2 linked regions of the Rhinolophus ferrumequinum genome follow. Each later gene encodes a partner of the first gene's protein in a complex. Links are inferred from orthologs where the notes say so. Each region holds a gene or a part of one and is shown on either strand. Other genes may lie near its edges.

Region 1 (9,664 bases):
CTTTTGTACCCTGCAATAGTGGGTAGCACCTGCTCCTAAGATGATAGGTGTTCCAGAAATGACGACTACCTTTCACACTGAGCTTTCCCTGTGCAATTGTTATACCATGAATATATAAATTTCTGCAAATTCTGTTACTACCTCTCTCTCTTCTCTCCCAATAAAAAGATATTTTGAAGCAGTAAGCATAAGCTATCATCTCTGTTATGGTCTAATTCAGGGGTCAGAAAACTTCTTTTGTAGATGGCCAGTTGGTAAGTATTTTAGGCTTTATGGGCCACGTAGTTTGTGCCGCAACCACTCAACTCTGTTGTTGAAACACATACACAGCCACAGACAAATGCAAAATTGAATGAATGCAGCTGTGTTCTAAAAAAGCTTTACAAAGACAGGCAGGGGGCTTGAGTTTGCCTATCTCTGGTCTAATTCATTCCAAGGGCAAATAAAATGTTACTGGCTTTCTTTTCTTTGTGGATTTTTGAAATGTGTCCTGAATTGGTTACATGCCTACACTCTGAAAGAGATCTTTGCAGTGAGAACTCTTTTAAGACAAAAGAAGCACTCTGATCATATAACTTATATAATATTTTGATCTGATACTGTATTTTCTTAGACAAACAAGTGAATAACCTTACCAGTGTGACACACACAGGCACAGTATGAAATTTCAGTTTCCTTCTCGCCCTGTTTTGAATAGTTCTGTCTTAGTTATCATCTATACAAAATTATAGCCCTGGTTTCTGAGTTAGAAATGGAGATAAGAGAAACTCATCTGACAACATAACTAACCTTCAAATAACAGCAAAGCCCATCTCCTTTAAGATTTCCTTGATTATCTTTGTAAAGCTTGACCTTAAATTCTTCTGTATGAGGATCTCTCATAATAATGCCAAACTTGGACATGAGCTGTATAAATTCATCCACTGTAATGTCTGGAGGCAAACCTGTAACATTAGGAAAAATAAATATGAAAACTTATAAAAGCATCTAAATAAAGGTGAGGGTTACTTAGCATTCTACCAATTAGAAAGCTACAACTTCGATGAGCAGTTTTGATTTTCTAAATGTATGTAAAAATCTCACATCTGTAGAATTGAGGAAATTTCGTGTTTTAATGTATTCAAACATACATTTAAAATTCTTTGCCTAGGACTTGTATCAATGAATCTGAGGGATAAATTACCACAAGTTACCTAAAGCAGACAAAAAGGATGGCGTGCAAAGTTACATACACTTAATTTTTCTTAGTTTTGCAATAAACAACACATTCCTCCCTGATGTGAACAGTTGAACAAAGAATGACACAATAAAAAACAGACTTTAGAGAAACTGAAAACTAAAAATTACTTTATGAAAAATATCAAAATCAAATATTTTCTACTCTAAATTTGTATTAAAAAGGTATACATACCAGACACATATACATTTGTATTTCTGTCTTCTTCAACATGAAACCATCCTAAAAATCAAAATGAATAAATAAATAAAACACATGCAAGAAAAGGTAAAAGTCACATCATGAAATCTTGACAATGTGGCAGTTTCTCCAAACTTTCAGGAACTTTTTCTTACCCTTAGAACAAGACAGACTAACTCAAACCACTGTGCAGCTTTCAAAGTATTTGGATCTTTTAACAGATAATTAGCTTCAGAGCCCTTTCTGAAAAAAGAGGGTTTATCTTGGTTATGATTCCGATCCTACCTTAAAAAAACTCCTCCTTGCACTGAATTTAGGCCTTGGCATTTAACTGCTTCCAACTCCAATCTACTGTGTTAGACAGGGCCAAGCTGAAGCAAAACTGATATGAGTTCAATTTAATTAAACTCAAAAAGTACAAGAAAATAACCTTACAAACAGAACTTTTGACAATACCCCAACAATAGCTCTATTTTGCAAAGGAAGCAACTGAGGCATAAAACTGAAACAGCCAACGCAATGCCCACAATAAGTTAGTGTGAAAGCCAACATATGAACCCAAGTAATAATTTAAAACACTCATCTCTATGATTCCTTCAAAGCCATTATAATTCTCCAAAAAGTAACTGTACACACACACACACACTCACATTTAAAAAATTTTTACACTCATGTTTTGCAAGCTAAATCCACTTACCTGAGTCAGCCTTTCTCTTTTCTCCCCTCTTTTTGGACTCAGTGGGTTCAGGGGTGTTTCTTTGTGGCGGTTCCTCTGCAGGCCTAGCACTGACATCCTGCACATTTGCAGTAGAACTAGACGCACCATCATTAGAAAAGCCATAATTGGCCTGATATGTAGCAATGAAGTCTTCAGTTATCTGAACAAGAAATTCAACACACATAAATTCAAAAATGATTTCCTCCTGCAAAAAGTTTACACTGTGTTAAATTACTGCATATGCAGTTATACAACTTAATACAGAAGTGGGTAATAGTTGTAGTAATAAAGTGTAAATGGAAGAATAGTCACCTTATATACAAAAGTGTGCATACAATGATTCAAAAAATAAGACAGACACGGGTACTTGGATTATCAACACAAAAGTCTGAGCTACTATCAAGGCATTTTAAATGATACTGGCATATTTTCTAGTTGTTTCATTTATAAATTACTACCTCTCCGCAGTCTACTTGATGAAGGCTACAAGTACATATAACAAAGGAAGTACCAGATAACAAAACAGAACAAAAACTATAGTCAACTAGTAATCTAACAACAGAATCATTTTTTTCTTTAACGATATAGATGCACAAAGTGTATGTACATTAAATATTTAAATATCTGCATGCAAAGAGCACACAGAATGGAACTTTGATTTGGTGTATAAAGAATGAGGCCAACAATAGTTAAACAAAATGCTTGTTTTAACTTTATCGTGAATTAAATCACATTCTCATTTAGTGTCATAACAAATTAAGAACAAATCCAACTCACATCTATCCTCCTGGCTTTTGGAGAAAAAAGCACGATTGCACAATGAAAGAAATGTAGTTATATCTTCATACCAATCAATGTTAGACACACACAGGAATGGGAAAAATTTAAACTCAAAGTTTGAAGAGGTCTGAGCCTCCATGACACTAAAAGGTAAGTCACAAATGAACCTATTATCAGACTATTGTTAAAGTACTCAGAAGGCTGAAGAAACCAAATCTGCACCCTAGCTGGCACTACCAGTACAGAAGTGAAATACAGCTGACCCCTGAACAACACAGGGGTTACGGATGCCAAACCCCTCACTCCGACGAAAATCTGTGTATAACTTTTGACTCCCCAAAACTTTACTAATAGCCTACTGTTGACCAGAAGCCTTACTGATAACATTGTCAATTAACACATAGTTTGTGTATGTATTATATACTGTATCCTAACAATAAAGTACCTAGAGGATAAAAAATGTTATTAAGAAAATCGTAAGACAAAATACAGTCACAGTACTGTACTATATTTATCGATACCATAAGTTTATGTTATCTGCATACAAGATGAAAAAAATCTGTGTATAAGTGGACCCACGCAGTTCAAACCCATGTTGTTAAAGGGTCAACTGTGGCAAATGTAAAAATTTGGAAGGAATGCAACACACACACACACACACAATAGGAAAGAAAGAAGTTGAAATAAATAATTTTTAAAGTAACAAATTACACAATGGAGACAGGGTTTGTTATTACAGGCTTGAAAGTCAATTAGTGTGCTATTGGTATCCTTTTTTTCCACCCATATGAGATTTTGATTAACAGGGTACTTTTACGGAAAAGTTTACAGAACCAGGTTTAACACCAGTTATTTTACTTCCAAGCTGAAATAAAATACTTAACGATTTCTCCAAGTACTCTAAATAAATATTCACAGATCTTCTCCAACCATATATTCTGTGCATCTCTAGTCCTATTCCTCAGCCTCCCTAACATAAAAAGGTAAGTCGCAAATGAATCTATTATCAGACTATTGTTAAAAGTACTCAGAAGGCTGAAGAAACCAAATCTGCACCCTAGCTGGCACTACCACTACAGAAGTGAAATACGGTTGACCCTTGAACAACACAGGGGTTAGGGACGCTGATCCCCCTCGCAGTGGAACACCTGTGTATAACTTTTGACTCAAGCAGTGAGTGTGTCTAGGGACAAAATTTAATAGAAAGTAGAGGTGCAAACAAAGTTCAATCAGTAAAGATATACAAATGGCTAGGTGTTTTTTTTTTAATCAAGAAGCTGCATTTGTACGTAGTATACAAGCTAAACACCTGAATTTCTAGGATAAGTGACGTTGGCTCCCTGAGAGTAACAGCGACTAAGTTTGCTCTTGGTGTTTTTCCTTTTTGCAATAAAAAGCAGTCACCAGTGTAATAACCAATTGTGACCTTCACAGATAAAATTAATAAGGCATAGAAAAAAAATTAAGAATTAAATTACATTTAAGACATCTCCCTAAAGATATATGTTCCTTTACACACTGGTTCTGCAACAGACCCAACAACAACAAAAGCGTCACTATCCGTAGGGGCTCCAACTCAGGACCTCGCAAAGAAAACGTACAAGGAGCGCCCCGCAAGGCGGGCCCGCTCTGCAGTGGCACCGGTGGTAACACACTCCTACCTTGGGGAACCAAGCCTTCTTGTCCAGGTCCCACTCGTAGGGGGTGTCACTTGGCTGCTGCACGATAGAATTGGTTTCTCCGCCGAGATCTTTCAGGGTGTCTCCGTCCTTGGTGTCTCCGTACAATTCTTGCATTCTCAATTGCTCATCAAAGTCGTCCTTCCCATCCAAGTTGTTGCTGCTCATGTTGCTGACTTAGCTCAGGGGCAGGGTCCGGGCGAGCGAAGAGGCAAAGATAAGGCTGGAGGAGAACAGAGAAAATGAGGTCTGCAGCTCTCGGCCCGCGCCCTGCCGCCCCCCGGCGCGCCTCCCCGTGGCGCCCCAGCAGCCCCCGGGAGGTCGGGCCACACAGCGGCCGCACCGCCCCCCGATCCGCCCGCCCGCTCGCCGCGAGCGCGCGCGCACGCGCGCGGACCGAAGCTGCCTGTTCTGCTGCGCCGCCGCCCACCTGGCTCGCCCCGCCAGGCCTCGGCGCCGCCGCTCGATCCAGGGCGCGGCGGGAGCGCGCACGCGCGCCGCCACCGCCGCCGCCACCGGGTCGAGGCGACTGCAGGTCCGGCGGCAACGACTTGAGAACGGAGGCCCGCTCAGACTGACGCAGTCGCCATTGATGGCGCGACGAGACGTCGCGGGTCGCGCCGACACGCCCATAATGGCGTCAACAAGCGCCGACGCGGACCTGCGGCGCGAGGCCCAGGGGCGGGGCACTAGGGGGCGCGCGGCTACCACGCACCGGTTTCCGTGCCGGTCGCCTCGGGGCGGTGAGAGCCGCGGAGTGCAGGAGCCGCGGCGGGCAGGGCTGGTGCGGAGCGGCAGCCCTAAGGCGTGTGAATATTCGCACCTGGCAGGCGGGAGTCGGGGCGCCGCCATCTTGGGGTGCATGGGGCAGGCGGAACAGGTTTGTCTTGCGGAGAAAAGGCCACACCTCCTTTGCACAAAGGCTCCTCCTCCTCGTGGGAAATGTGTCTTTACTTCTTTTTCTCTGATTGCTTAGGGTAGGCGCCGAATCTGTTTCATCTTGGTGGCGTAAGCTCCTAGCTTGGGGTCTGATGTGAATGAGTGAATGAGTGAGTGAACGAAGGAGCAAGAGTGGAAGGACTAACCTTTTCCAAACCTCAGCCCCCTCCTTTATCTCTGTGGTACCTTCTTCAGGCTGCAGATGGACTCTGGAAAGGGAGAGAGGGCAGCAGTTAGTTGCCTGCCTCTTGGACTTCATGATTCAGAGGTGCTCAAGCTCGAAACCTGAAACATAAACATCCAAGTGTAAACACCAGCTTTATTGGCCGACTTTTTTTGTTGTTTTTTATTTCTTTTAGAAAGACACAATGTTTTTCCTCTAAACAACTTTTTAAGAAATTGCACATCACTGAAAATGGAGAAGTCTGTAATTTTTAATTGGACGGACATTTATTGAGCTCTTGCTAAGTGCCGGGCACTATACTGGGTAAGCTCTGGCTACACAGCAGTCGACAAGACAGGCACAGCTCAAGGGCGACACACTTACTTGGGAAATGATAGGATTGAAATACTGGATGCAGCAGTTATCAAACTTTCTGGTCTCAAGACCCCTTTGCACTCAAAAGTTACTGAAGACCTCAAAGAGCTTTTGTTTATATAGATTATACTTATCAGTATTTGTCACAAAACAATCATTTAAAAGTATTTATTCCTTTAAAATAATAAACCCATTATATGTAAACATAAAGTTCATAACCCAGACTTGAGGGTGGGGGAAAGAGTCCCAGAAGAAATTATTTCTACTATTTCCTTTGCTTCTAAACATAGCAGTTGAGTAAGGTTCTAGAAAATTCTCACTCCCCAAACACCAGCTTTGTGAACATGGTTTCCACCATAACAATGATTTTTAAATAGTATCTTGGGTTTTTTTTCAATTACATTTCTTTTTATGAAGTTCTTGTTGTGTTGGGAACTAGTGGAGAACTGAACTTGCATGCAGTTTATAATATAGATAACATGAGTTTTATTAGGCTCATTTAAGCATTGCTAAATATTTCTTCCTGGATCCAAAAATAGTATACAGCTGTTTTCAGCAATGTGTTATTGGGTTCCCATTTAATTCCTGAGTGAATTCACAGCATAAGTGATAATATGATACACAGCCCTACTGCATATGACACTCTGAGTGCCTGCTGTATCCGCAGGCCCCTTTTAGTAAGTAGTCAAAAAGGTTTCTTATGCCTGCATCCCATGTGACCCAGCCAACCGGGCCCAAAGGCTTTCCAGAAGCCTGCCTTCTAGACTGAATTTGATGAACTGAGCCAATAAGAGCCTCTCCCAGTGAGGAATGAGTATGGAACAAACAGGGACATAGAGGAGCACAAAAGCAGGGAGGCCCACGTAGGAAAGGTGACTAGCAGAACAGAGGTCTGCTGTGAAGTTCCCCAGAGGTGAGAGGAGAACCTGACATGGACAGAGGGTCACTGAGTCACCATAACAGTGGAGTTGGGAGCTAAGCACACTTGTAGCTACAATAGCATTCTATTTTACCATGAGACCTGACAATTGTTTTTTTAAACAATGCTATTGTCTCTATGAGGCCTGGTTCTTGTTTGTTCTTATTTCCCTGTGTATTCATAGAATTAACTCCCTAGTAATCCCGAGGTAATCTGTAAACGTCTCTGTCTTTGTAACCTGTCTTTTTCAAGATTCTTTTGTAAGTCAGAGAAACACTTAAGGTAACAAGCAAACAGAGGGGACCTTTATTATTATAAAGATAGGGGGTAGCTCCTGAAATTCCAGGACCAGAATGTAGATGGGCCACATCAGGAGCAGCTGGACCCAGTAAGCTGAACCAGTCTTGGAACCCAGACAGCCAGCTTCTTTTTGAATATCTTCTTCATTCTTCTCTCTCTGAACTTTGTAAGCGGTGATCTGTATTGTACTCCTGGCTTGATAGGCCGTGACCTTCCTGGTAAATAAAAATACATTAACTTACAAAAGCAAAGACTTCTTGGCCAGAGAAGTCACCTACCTGGTCTAGGAACTCTTTCTGGAAAATTACTGAGCTATACCAAATGACATTTTTTTTAATGGCCTATTCAAGCTAACTCTATTTGGGAATTTTCCTGTTCCCACTTCCTTCAATGTCAAGACTGAGTGGAAAGAAAAGTAACTCCTTTTGACAAAAAGATTGATGGATCCCTGACCTCAAGTCGTAACTGCAGAAATTCTTAAACCCAAATTTGCTATTTTCAGTAGCTATGCCAGTTAAATATTTTGTGGCACTTTCAACTTCAATGACAAACACTTCCCCATTGGACGTTTTGGTTGTATCTAAGTTTGTGACTTTGTTTTCCTGCTTTATAGCATATTATTATGGTCCATTATTCCCAGTCTTATGAGGTCTGACAATTAAGTTTGCGAACTTGTTGCAAAATGTTGCTAACCTTTTTTAGATATTAGAGGGATTATTCATTATGAATTTGTACCAACTGGACAAACAGTTAACCAATTGTACTATTTGGAAGTGCCGAAAAGGCTGCACGCGCGAAAAAGTTCCTTTTCGCCAATAATTCATGGCTCTTGCATCATGACAATGCACCAGCTCACACAGCACTGTCTGTGAGGGAGTTTTTAGCCAGGAAATAAATAACTGTATTGGAACACCCTCCCTACTCACCTGATCTGGCCCCCGGTGACTTCTTTACCCGAAGATAAAGGAAATATTGAAAGGAAGACACGTTGATGACATTCAGGACATCAAGGGTAATACAACGACAGCTCTGATGTCCATTCCAGAAAGACAGCTCCAAAATTACTTTGAAGAGTGGACTAGGCGCTGGTGTCGGTGCATAGCTTCCCAGGGGGAGTACTTTGAAGGTGACTATCATGCAGGGTCTCAGCTCTCACTCCGCGCACAAGAACGCAGGATATGGTGAGGCCAAAAAGGAACACCCACGGAGCCATAGATAGGGGAGTCTTACCACTACAGTCTCACTGGAGGCTGGGTTGGAGACACAGGAAGCAGGAGACACATGATCCACAGCCTGCCGTCCACTTCTCTCTGCCAACCCACCCCACTTGCTAACTGCAATCCTCCGTGCTAACTGCAATCCGCGCTTGCTAACTCAGCCACCATCTTCTTGCTAGCCCCCATTTTCTGCTAGCGTAGCCACGGCAGTTATATTAGTGGCCAGTGGCTCACTGGTTACAGCTGACGGCCAACTAGCCACAGCTGATGGCCATCCAATCAGAGTTGATGGCCATTTACTACCTGAGCCAGCACCTTTCCACGTGAGGCCGAGAGCCTGGAAACTGCACTCCTGGCTCTGTCCCCACAGTGACTGTAGTGATATTAGCAATGAGGTATGTAGCACTTTTTCTAGGATGAGTTCATGAACTTAATTGTCTGACCTTGTAGATCAGGACAAACCCAGAGCAAAATTGAGAAGTATACAAGATTTGTTCTTCATGTGTCCCAACTCTCTTCATATTGAGGACCCTCTCCAAAGAAATGCAAACTTCTGTAGTAACATTTCTGGTACAACAATAGGCAGTGTGAAAGAAATTGTGGATATTGGGGCCTATTTGTAAGGTTAGTCCTGACAAGGAAAATCTGTTTAAAAAAAAGACCACTCCCTCTAAAAAAATCAAAACAATTCTATGAATTTTAATCCCAATTCTTTAATTCTGGATGGGAGGCTGATGCCCTATAAAACTAATTAGGGTATTAGTTTATATCGGATCCATAAGTCACTTCAGGATTACTTAGAATGTAGAAAATGAAAGTTCTTTGAGCTCTAGTTTAATCAACTGCTAAAAGGCTGTCTTGTAATCTGGTACTTTTACCAAGTTATCTCTAAAATGTTATATCCTTAGGAGAGAAAAGATGTAATTTTTACCCAGAGTAAGGAAAATAATAAAATATTTGGGAGCTTTGTGACTTGAAAATAACTTAAATTTTGGGATTAAAATGGGTTCTCAGTTACATGCTGTCAGAAGTATTGTTTTTAGAATACAAAGTTACGCAGTCATTTGAAACTTTATTTAATATTTATTTGTTTTGCCCTGCTTATTACAATGCCCGACTTAAAACAGTATTAATATAATATTGGCACTCCCCACTTA
Region 2 (9,648 bases), on another chromosome or scaffold:
ATAGCACCAACGGTGTTAAAGGAAAACGTGCAAGCAAGAAATCCACAGCAGTGGTGACTTCCAGGGCCCGGAGTGCCAGTCAGAGGCTGGGTACAAAGGGGCGTGGCCTTCATGTGGAGTGACCAGCGGGCCCCAGTCAGAGCCCCTCTGCCACCGACAGCATTCTGAACGACGAGTCAAGTTAACAAGAGCCCTGAGGATGGGAGAGCAGCGCACGCTGCCGGCAGGGCCTGAGGACAGGATGTGGGCTGCACAGGGAGCCGTGCTGAGAACTCACCTCGTTGTTGTGCAGTGTCAGGCACAGCTTGCATTCGTACGAGCCCAGGTGGTTCTTCATGAAGTAAGGGTCCTGGGGACGGAGGCACAGCCCGTTAGACTGTGGGAGACGGCGCCCTGCGGCCCCACAGCCGTCTGCCCGGGATGGAGGGCTAGGAGAAGCCTGAGGCTGTCCCGGCAGGTGTCTCCCAGGGCAGCACTGCAGGACCACCTGGGGCCCTGTGGAGATGGGGTCCACTTGGCAGGGCTGGGGTAGACACTGCTGGTCCCTGGCCCCCACTCTAGCAGTGGGCATCTCCGGGGAGTCCCTGGCCACATATTTGTGGCAGTTTGGGATCTAGAAGGAGGCAGAGCCCAAACAGCACTGCTGGTCAGCTCCTCGGCCTGGATCTGGCAGCAAACCCTGCCAGTCTTCCAAGTGTCCCAGCACAAGCTGGATAAGTAAGCGCGTTAAGGGAAAGACCACGGAGACCCATGTCTCTGCAAGTGCTGTGCGCTGGACAGCTGACTGGCCATAAACCAAGGCAGTGGGGGCAGGCGTGGTGCAGACTGGCAGGGTTCAAACCCTAACTCCACTGGCCAGCGGCTGTGTCATCTTGGGCAATGCTGACCCCTCCCTCCGCACGACTGTTTCCTCACCTGCAAAATGGGGACAGTAATAGAACCGACCTCACAGGCACAGGCCCCACACACCTCAGAGGGTTTCAAAGTCTAAGGGAGCCATATACTGACCGCTGGGCTCTCACCTGGGCCACTCAGAACATCTGTGGTGGTCACACTGGGGGTGCTCCTGGCATCGAGTGGGTGGGGGCAGGGATGCTGCTCAGCACCCACAGTGCCCAGGACGGCCCTCAGCAGTGCCAGGGGGAGACCTGGTCTACCAACGGCTCTGTGCAGCGGAACGAACATGCTGCCCTTCGCTGCCTGTGGCTGGAATGGTACCAATCTATATGACGCCATCATGGCCCTCACCACTGCTTCTCTACGCCGCTGGGTAATTAAACAAAACCAAACCCCTTACACAGAGAAAACCCGTAAACACATGGGGTCACTGATAGCAGGCGGCCCTGGGCGGGCAGGGGGGACCTGCTGCTCCGGCCCAAGTCCCCCGTTTACAGGTGAGGAAGCCGAGGCCCAGAGAGCTGGGTGGTTGCTCAAGGGTAGCGGTGTGATGTCGGGACCACGGGTCCCCGGGAAGAAAGGAGGCTGTGGGGAGCCCCCTCCAGCCCTACCTCACCTTGTTTATGTCAATGGTCTCCAGAGCCAGCTGCCGGAGACGCTCCCTGCGGTCCCGGTTGCTCTCCGAGGAGGAGGCCACCCCTCCACTCCCGGTCTTGCCCCCGGGGCGATGCTGGAAGTCCATGGTGAGGGCCTTGGGGTTTTATTGGACTGGGGAGAAACCTGGAGAGCAAAGGGGAGAGGCAGTGAGAACCTGGTGGCTGTCACTGGGGCCTCCCCGGGATTGGTGGACGGGCAGGCAAGGAGACCATGCCCCCCAATGTTTGTCTCTCACCCCGCACTCCTGCCACCCCCCCCCCATCCCGTCATCCCTCCATCCTAAATGGCCAGAATAAGCTCCTATGTTGCCAGTGGCTGGCCGGGGTTGGGAAAAGCCCCTGTCCAGACAATATGATTGACTTAGGGAAATCTAAGCCCACATAAATACTCAACCGCTCACCAATCAGGGCAAAACCAGTAACCACTGGAAACCAAAACTGCTGGTTACTCAAAGCCCATTGCTCCCGTGTTGTCCCTCCTCCCCTAGCAGCACCCCCACCCCAAATGAACTGAGAGCTCACAGCCTGGGATGAAGGTCTTTCCACAGGTATCTGGGCTCCTGGGCAGATCAGTTTGATTCTAAGAACTGGAATGAGGGGCCTCTGGCCTGGGAGCCAGGCACAGAGAGGCTGTGGGTGAGGGCCAGGTTGAAGAGGGGATTTCATCAAAAGCTGCCCACTGACCAGCAGGCAGTCTGCCCTTCCCTGCACCATGTCCAAAGGCAGGTGGCCCCGGTCAGAGGCCCCCAGCTTAGGGAGGACTTCAGGAGACTTTTCTGGGGAAGGAGCGCCAGGGAAAGTATTCTCAGACACTGACAGTAGGGGTCCCTCGTGCCCCAAATAAAATACCAGCTCCCTGCCAGGCCAACTGAGCAGTGAGACCCATCAGATGAGAAGCACAGACAGCTCTCACACACAGAGGTGGCAACTTCACGTAACAGACAAAAAGAATCTCTATACAGCTGAGAAAAAAATAAACCTGATGGAAACCTCAATAGACGGTGCCAACACCTTGCCAAGGGTTAGCACAGTGAATTAAAACCGCAACGAACCCTGGGAAAGAAGACAGGGTGATCCAAACAAAAAATTGAATATGAGGGCTCGGAGGTAAGAGTCAAAGACATATCTCATAAGGAAAACAAGAGAAAAAGGAAAACATATGAGGCAGTGCAAGAACCTTGATGAAATTCCAGAGTGAAAACAGACAGAAACACAGAGAGTCTTATCAAAGAAATAAATATTATCAGAGAGCTAACACAAAAGCATTATCAAAACACTGAAAGAAAATGCCCCAGGGCTGAAAGGACCTATTCCTTGCAATAGAAACAAAAAGACTCTCAATAAATGGATCATGAAACTGCACACCAATGAGGAAAATCTTCCATTTGCACAAACAGAAGATCAGAAGCGAAAGGTTAGAAAGCAGAATGGGGCCAGAGCTCTCAGAACTGAGCATGTAAGAGAAGCAATACTCCCACAGTTCTCAACGTAGATTTTTAACCCCGAGTTTTCATTTTATATCCGAACTGTGAGTGTAAGTAAATAAAGCCATTTTCAGGACTCAAAGGGCTCAAAATCAATCAATCAGTCCATCAATCAATTTCTTCAAAAGCTACCCTGCGATTGATGGGCCGATAGGAGGAAGAGGAGATAGTCAGACTGGAAACAAGCCAACCCGAGAGCACTGACAGAACGTTCTAGGACAACTGCTTCTCTGTAAGGTGAGCAACCAGAACAAAGTGAAGCAGGAGTATGTCAGCATTTGGGAGAGACATTTCTATGGCGGAATTTTTTTTTAAAAAAAGGACCAAGTCCTCTAAACCTGTGGAAAAATACAGTCTATCACCGTTTGAGGTGATGGAACTTTGAGGAAAAATTAACAGGAGGAAAAGAAAATCAGGGTAACAGGAAAAATGAAAACATTCATTAGCTTCGGGGTAGTGGTTGGGGGAGAACAGTACAGGAAAAGCCGCACAGATGAACTTGTTACTTGCCTTAGCCACGAAGGATACTTTCAGTCTCAGAAAACAGAACTAATAATTTGACTAAAGCTTGCGATATATAAACGCATCCAGGGTAGGAGGGTGAAGTGGGAGTGGGTGGGAGGCAGAAATACGACCTCATCAATCACGTAAGAAATCAGCAGGTCGCGTCTGACACCAGCACATCCAGAAAGAATGTTTACGGAGATAAAGACGGCTTTAAAAATTGAGCAGAGGCGGCCTCCGGGGCAGAGGACCGAGCAGGGATGAATGCCAGCTTTTGATGAACATACTATTATCTCCTTAAACCTGGCAGACAGTTTATTATCGGGAGCTCCTCTCGCACGTTCTGCAAGGCCAATGGGTAGAAGAAAGAAGCCGACCGCGCATAGCAGTATGAGTGGTGGAAAGTCATTTAACCTCGGGGCTTCGCTGGCGAAATGCAGCCAGCTAACTGGCTCTGGTGGCCTTCGGCACGGCGCTGGGCACTCTACTCCAGGACCTTATGTATTATTTAGTTGCCCTGGAACTGGCGATCGCTGTTACCCCCATTCCAGTTACAGAAACTGAGGCGAAGAGGAACCGAGTGACTCCCGTACCACAGAGTCTGTCAACTAACGGATGCAAATTAATGCTCGGAGGGGTCCTCGGTTACACGGAAGGCGCCATGCGAGCTGCTACCCCGACCCAATCCCAATGGGTCTTTGGAGAATCCCAAGCGAGCGGAGGGCTCCGGGGACCCAGAGGCCCGTCATTCCCCGGGGAGGAGGCGACGCGGCGGCCCGCCCTCAGCCTGCGCCCCCGTCGCAGGCGCCCCTCGCTCACGTCTGCTATCTCCTAGGGAACTCCGGGCTCCGGGGCCGCCGCTCTCGCTCCGCTTTACACCTGCACCGGATGCAGCGATCCCGTTGCCTTTTCAGTCTCCACTGCCGCCACGACTTCGTCCCGCGAACGCGCCCCGCGGGCTAAGAATGCACTTCCGGGGCAAACGGGGCGGGCCTCCCATGTGCGCATGTCCGGCCCAGCCGATAGCGCGAATGAGCAGCTCTGTAGGTGCCAGGAAAGGGAGCGGGACTCCGTGCAGGCTGGAAGCTGAAGTGCGCATGCCCAACAGGCTCTCAATGACCTCTCGGTCGGTTTTACTCGCAGGACCCAGTTCTCGCGGGAAGGAGGGCAGCGACTTGTACCCAGACCTTCCGCCTATTCTTGCCCATTTGGGTGCCACGGGTCGTAGGGGTGTTTTATTTTTTCTATCCTGGGCCTAACACTGCATGATACATATAACAGTCTGTCTTTGACTTTCCCGTGGGCCCCACGAGGGCTCCACTCGATCTCTGCTGCCCCCGGGACGCCAGCGCCCTTCGCCGGTGATTGACAGGATGGGCAGCCCTGGGGCGCGCCGGCGCAGTAGCTCTGGGAGAACTTCCGGGACGTGCCCTGGGACATTTTTGGCGTGAGCGGGGACAACGGCCGGTAGGGCGCGGCCGGTACTCTACGTTCTGGGCCTCGGGGCGCCATGCGCTACAACGAGAAGGAGCTGCAGGCGCTGTCCAGGCAGCCGGCCGAGCTGGCGGCCGAGCTGGGCATGCGGGGTCCCAAGAAGGGCAGCGGTGAGCAGGCCAGGGCCGAGGGTCGGGGCGGGCGGGCAGCGGCGGGTTGGGCGGCCGCCAGCCCTCGCGAGCCCGCCCTGTGTCCGCAGTGGTGAAGCGACGACTGGTGAAGCTGGTGGTTAATTTCCTCTTCTACTTCCGGACGGATGAGGCAGAGGTAGGGCGGCGGGGAGGCGGGTCCCGGGCTGGGGGCTGGGGTCCTAGGGTGGCCCGCCCATTCGCCCCGTCTGCCCCCAGCCCGTTGGAGCCCTGCTGCTGGAGCACTGCAGAATCACCCAGGAAGAGCCCAGCGGCTTCTCCATCAGTGAGTGCGGGGGGTGGGGCCAGGCCGGCCATGACCCCCAACTCCGCCCTGCCCCGTCCCTTCCCAGGAACAAAGTTCAGGGCTGGGCTCCTTCCCTGTGGTGCAGGCTGTGCGCATCCGTCCCAGCCCCTCCCTAGCTGCCACCGCAAGGCCACAAGGGCTTTGTCTTCTCTTGGGGAGCATAGCCCTCGGGTCAATGCTTGCTGTATTTACCCATTTTCAGTGCCGGGCTTTGTGCATGGGACCCCGGAGGATTCTTCTGGGTCTCTTTGAGAGGATGGAGTTTTCAGGGAAGGCCGGAACTTCTAGTGTCCTGGGGCTGCCACAGACGGGGGGGGGGGGGGGGCTTCAACAGCAGAAACTTACTTCTCTCACTGCTTGAGGGCAGAAGTTCAGGTTGGGGTGTCGGTAGGACTGGTTAATTCTGAGGATAATTTGTCCCAGGCTCTCCCAGTTTCTGGAGGCTTGGCAGCTTCTGGCATTCTTTGGCTTGTAGACGCATCACCCCGCTCTGCGTCCATCGTCTTCTTGGCCTTTTCCCTGTGTGTCTGTCAATTCCCCCTTTTTGTAAGGACACCAATCCTATTGGATTAGGAGTCCACCGCACTCCAGCATGACCTCACCTTAATTAATCTGCAATGACCCTGTTCCCAGATTCTGGGAGCTAGGCCTTGAACCTACCCTTTTGGGGGACACAGGTCAACCCACAGCCGGTGGGAAGCGAGGAGCCTGGGCTGGAGGGGACAGTTGTGGACAGTGGCAACAGACAGCTGAAGCCTGTGGTTGGTGGGGGTGGGAGTGAGCAGGGACACACGGGGCCCCTCCCTCTGCAGGCTTCATCGAGGACCCGGAGAGGAAGTACCACTTTGAGTGCTGTAGCGAGGAGCAGTGTCAGGAGTGGATGGGGGCTCTTCGTCGAGCCAGGTGGGGCATGGGCGGCCCAGGGGGCCTGGGGTGGAGGTAGAGCCAGCCCTGTGAACACAGGCCACTTTCTTCTCCAGCTACGAGTTCATGCGCCGGAGCCTCATCTTCTATAGGAATGAGATCCAGAAGATGACCGGCAAGGTGGGCATGGGGCACACGGCTCGGGACGGGGGTGGCTCGTGGCCTGGGGCTCACGCTATGCTGTCCACCCCACAGGACCCCCTGGAGCAGTTCGGCATATCGGAAGAGGCCCGGTTCCAGCTGAGTGGCTTGAAGGCATGAGTCCACGATCAGGCTCCTCACACTCACCAGTTTTGAGGAGCCCCCCCCCCCCTCCCAGGGACCTGGATTTATGGAGTGAGGTGTTTCGGCTTCAAGACTCCAGAGGCCCCAGGCTGCTGAGAGTGGGCAGGGGCTGTGCCTTGGGACCCACCAGACTGGTCCGGCACCTCTTGGTGCCACATGCTGCTGCCGGGGAGTGTTGTGTCTGGCCCCGCGGGCACATCCCTCCAGGGCCTGGCGAGGGAGGCCCGAAGCTCCTGCTCTGTGCAGGCTGAATGCATGAAGCTGGACGATGCTGTGAAGGGCACGGGGCTGTGAACTGTCCTGCTGAGGGCGAGGGCCGGCCCTGGCTGGAGGCCGCTGGGCAGAGCTGGGAGCTTTTGCCCTTGGGCCCGTGTGCCTATTCTGTTCAAATAAAGGTACCTCTTTTTTCCACATGGGTTGGTGGTGCAGTGAATGCAGAGAGGAACATGGATCCTCCACAGGCTGGTGGTCCCAGGCCGTTGGAGCTGGCCCCTGAGGGAAGTAAGGCTCCTGGGGGACAGGTCCTTTCCAGGCCTGAGGTTTAAGTGCCTGGGAAGAAGGGGCTGGGCTGCCCAAATAGAGGGGAGGAGACCCAGAACCCAGAGCCTGGCAAGTCAGGGAGGCTGGCCCCTGGGGCCTCTGGTGCTCACAGGCCCTAAGGTAGGATGGAGGCGGGGGTGTGATGGGATCCTCAGGTGGCCCGTGATCCCACCCATCGTCACAGGGCTTTCCCTTGGGTGCACGTGGGACCTCAGAAAGGGTTCTGCCCACGTCCGAGTCGCAGTTGGTTGGTTTTAGTTCATCAAAAGGGCCGTCCTTGGGGTGCTGGACCTCGTCAGGTATAAGCCCTGCAGGGGCTGGGCCTCCCTGAGGTGGGCACTTGCAGTCTGCTAGTCACAGCGGCTGCTTTCAGGAGCACTGTGGGCCTGTTGGGAGTGACCGTCCTCTGCACTTGGGCCCTCAAGGCTAAGGTCTCACTGTGGTAACCAGGAAGAAATGCCAGCAGACCAGGTTCAAGTGAAAACAAGTCTTTTATTACAGTCTAGAGATGGAAATCAGAGTGCAGTGGGATTCCCGTAGGGAAAGAAGGCCACGCCAGCGCCCCAACTGAGACAGTCTACCAGAACCACAAAGCAGGCAGGGCCCTATCTGAGTTAATAGTCAAGGTTGAGACTGAATGGGAATGATGGCGGGGGTGGCGGGTGGTGGTAAAAGGACAAGAAAACAAATCTCCTACTGCAGACGGCGCGGATAAATAAAGGGGTGAGTGGGTCTTAAATAAGTCACGAGTCATAGCTGGAAGGGAAGGCTGGCTCCTCCTGACTGGGAGGGTCGTCCGACTTAGGTTTCCTGAGCAAAGCGCCCTCGCAGCCCTGGGCTTCCCTGAAGTTGCCCACAGTCACAGCAGCACAGGGTCTCTGCACAGAGACCAGAACCCGCTCCCCATAGGGCCATGCGGCCTCCCCTCCCTGGCAGCCAATAGTGGCCGATCGATCTCCTGGTCAGGAGGGCCTAGGGGCTGAGGGCGGGCACAGACGGAGACCCCCAGTGCTAACTGCTGTGGGGCAGATATGGCATGTCAGTATGAAGTCCACACAAGGACCCCAGTCGTCCGGAAGAGAAGCACTGTTGAGAACGGTTGCTTAGTTCCAGACCAGGGACTCGCCACGTGCTGTGACTTTGCTACTGTCAGCCTTGCAGCTTTTTAGGGGGCCCTGTGCTCCTGACAAGGGAGGGGGGGACATGGGGTTTGGGGTGAGCACAGCACCTTCGTGCACTGACCGGCAGGGAAGGGAGCCAGGGCAGCAGTTACAGGGCAGCCGGTTCCAAGAACCTGACCGAGCACCATCTTCAGCCTGGATTTGCTCTGGGCCAGGCACCACCCCAGGGCACACAGGAGGCAGGGCTCTCCCAGGCCCCCCCACTCCAGCCCCCCACCCCCTCCTCCCATCTGCCAAGGCCTGTCTTGCCCCTAGGGATCAGGATGCAGGGACCTGGCAGAAGGCCCTGCTGGCCAGGCTGGGGAAGGCGGGGCTCAGGCCTTTTCTCCAGGAACAGGTCAAATCCCTTTGCACAGCCCCACCTTTAGAAAAAGGACTTCTTTGTTCCTTGGGGGGGTGCTACCTCCTGGGGTAAAGCACCTGAGGCCAGAGCTCTGACTGCACCTGCTCCTAACCCTTTCTGGAGCTCCCACAATGGGGTCCTGAGGGCTTCTGGACTCGCCCTTTCAGGGACTCTGCAGACAACACAGGATCCAGAACTAGTCACAGACAGCTGCGCTGGAGGGAGCCGAGAACCCTACTGGCAGCCTCTGGAAGCATCGGCAACAGCTCTCCTGCCTTCCTGCGAAGCCCGCCTCTGCCCTGCCAGCCCACCCCGGGGAACTGGTTCCCAAGCACCATGGAGGCTACTCCAGTGGGGGCAGGTGTCACCCCAGCTGCGGGGTTGGAGGGCCAGTGGAGACATGGAGCAGTGGCACAGGCTGAGAAGAGGGACAAGGGGTGTTCGGCCCTGGGCCAACGCCACTTGTGTGCACTTGAATAAATAAAAAGGTTTCCCCCCTCACTTTTCTTTCTCCCTTTTAAGTTTACTGTGCATTATACGATCTAAAAATAAACAAAGTCAAGTCTATGAAATTTATAAATTTTCATCACATCTCTATAAAATACTGTCACTCGTCAGCGTGACTCTCTTCTGTACAGACACACCAGGCACCCACGGCTGACCTGCCACATGCCCCGGCCGGCGGCCACACACCTTGCTGGGCTGCATGAGCCCAAGACTAAGATAGCACGTACAAAGTAAAGCACTTGTTTCCCAGCAGCTCCGTGACACACGCGACGACGACAGGTACCAGACCCCCCCCCCCACCAAGCACCATTCACAGCGGCCTCCTCCTGTAGCATCAGGGAGCCCGCCGACCGCCCGCGTCCCCACACCAAAGGAGCCGTCCCAGGATCCAGGGCTGA

What was found. Proteins that work in one complex are often made in the same cells at the same time.
Region 2: HTATSF1 (region 1) and SF3A2 share a complex: the UniProt entries of both Homo sapiens proteins name them as parts of the 17S U2 SnRNP complex. The link is inferred for Rhinolophus ferrumequinum from reciprocal best matches to the Homo sapiens genes HTATSF1 and SF3A2.

Annotation. Positions count from the first base shown.
Region 1 is NC_046284.1:19,783,375-19,793,038, forward strand, and holds the start of HTATSF1 (HIV Tat-specific factor 1), read right to left. Parts: upstream 4,763-9,664; coding exon 4,577-4,762; intron 2,296-4,576; coding exon 2,115-2,295; intron 1,460-2,114; coding exon 1,412-1,459; intron 945-1,411; coding exon 790-944; intron 1-789. UniProt on the Homo sapiens protein: Component of the 17S U2 SnRNP complex of the spliceosome, a large ribonucleoprotein complex that removes introns from transcribed pre-mRNAs.
Region 2 is NC_046301.1:61,017,386-61,027,033, forward strand, and holds the start of SF3A2 (splicing factor 3A subunit 2), read right to left. Parts: upstream 4,515-9,648; 5' UTR 4,361-4,514; intron 1,678-4,360; 5' UTR 1,640-1,677; coding exon 1,514-1,639; intron 350-1,513; coding exon 278-349; intron 1-277. Other genes in the region: PLEKHJ1 (pleckstrin homology domain-containing family J member 1), read left to right, coding at 5,052-5,145, 5,235-5,302, 5,383-5,449, 6,283-6,373, 6,451-6,514, 6,590-6,655. UniProt on the Homo sapiens protein: Component of the 17S U2 SnRNP complex of the spliceosome, a large ribonucleoprotein complex that removes introns from transcribed pre-mRNAs.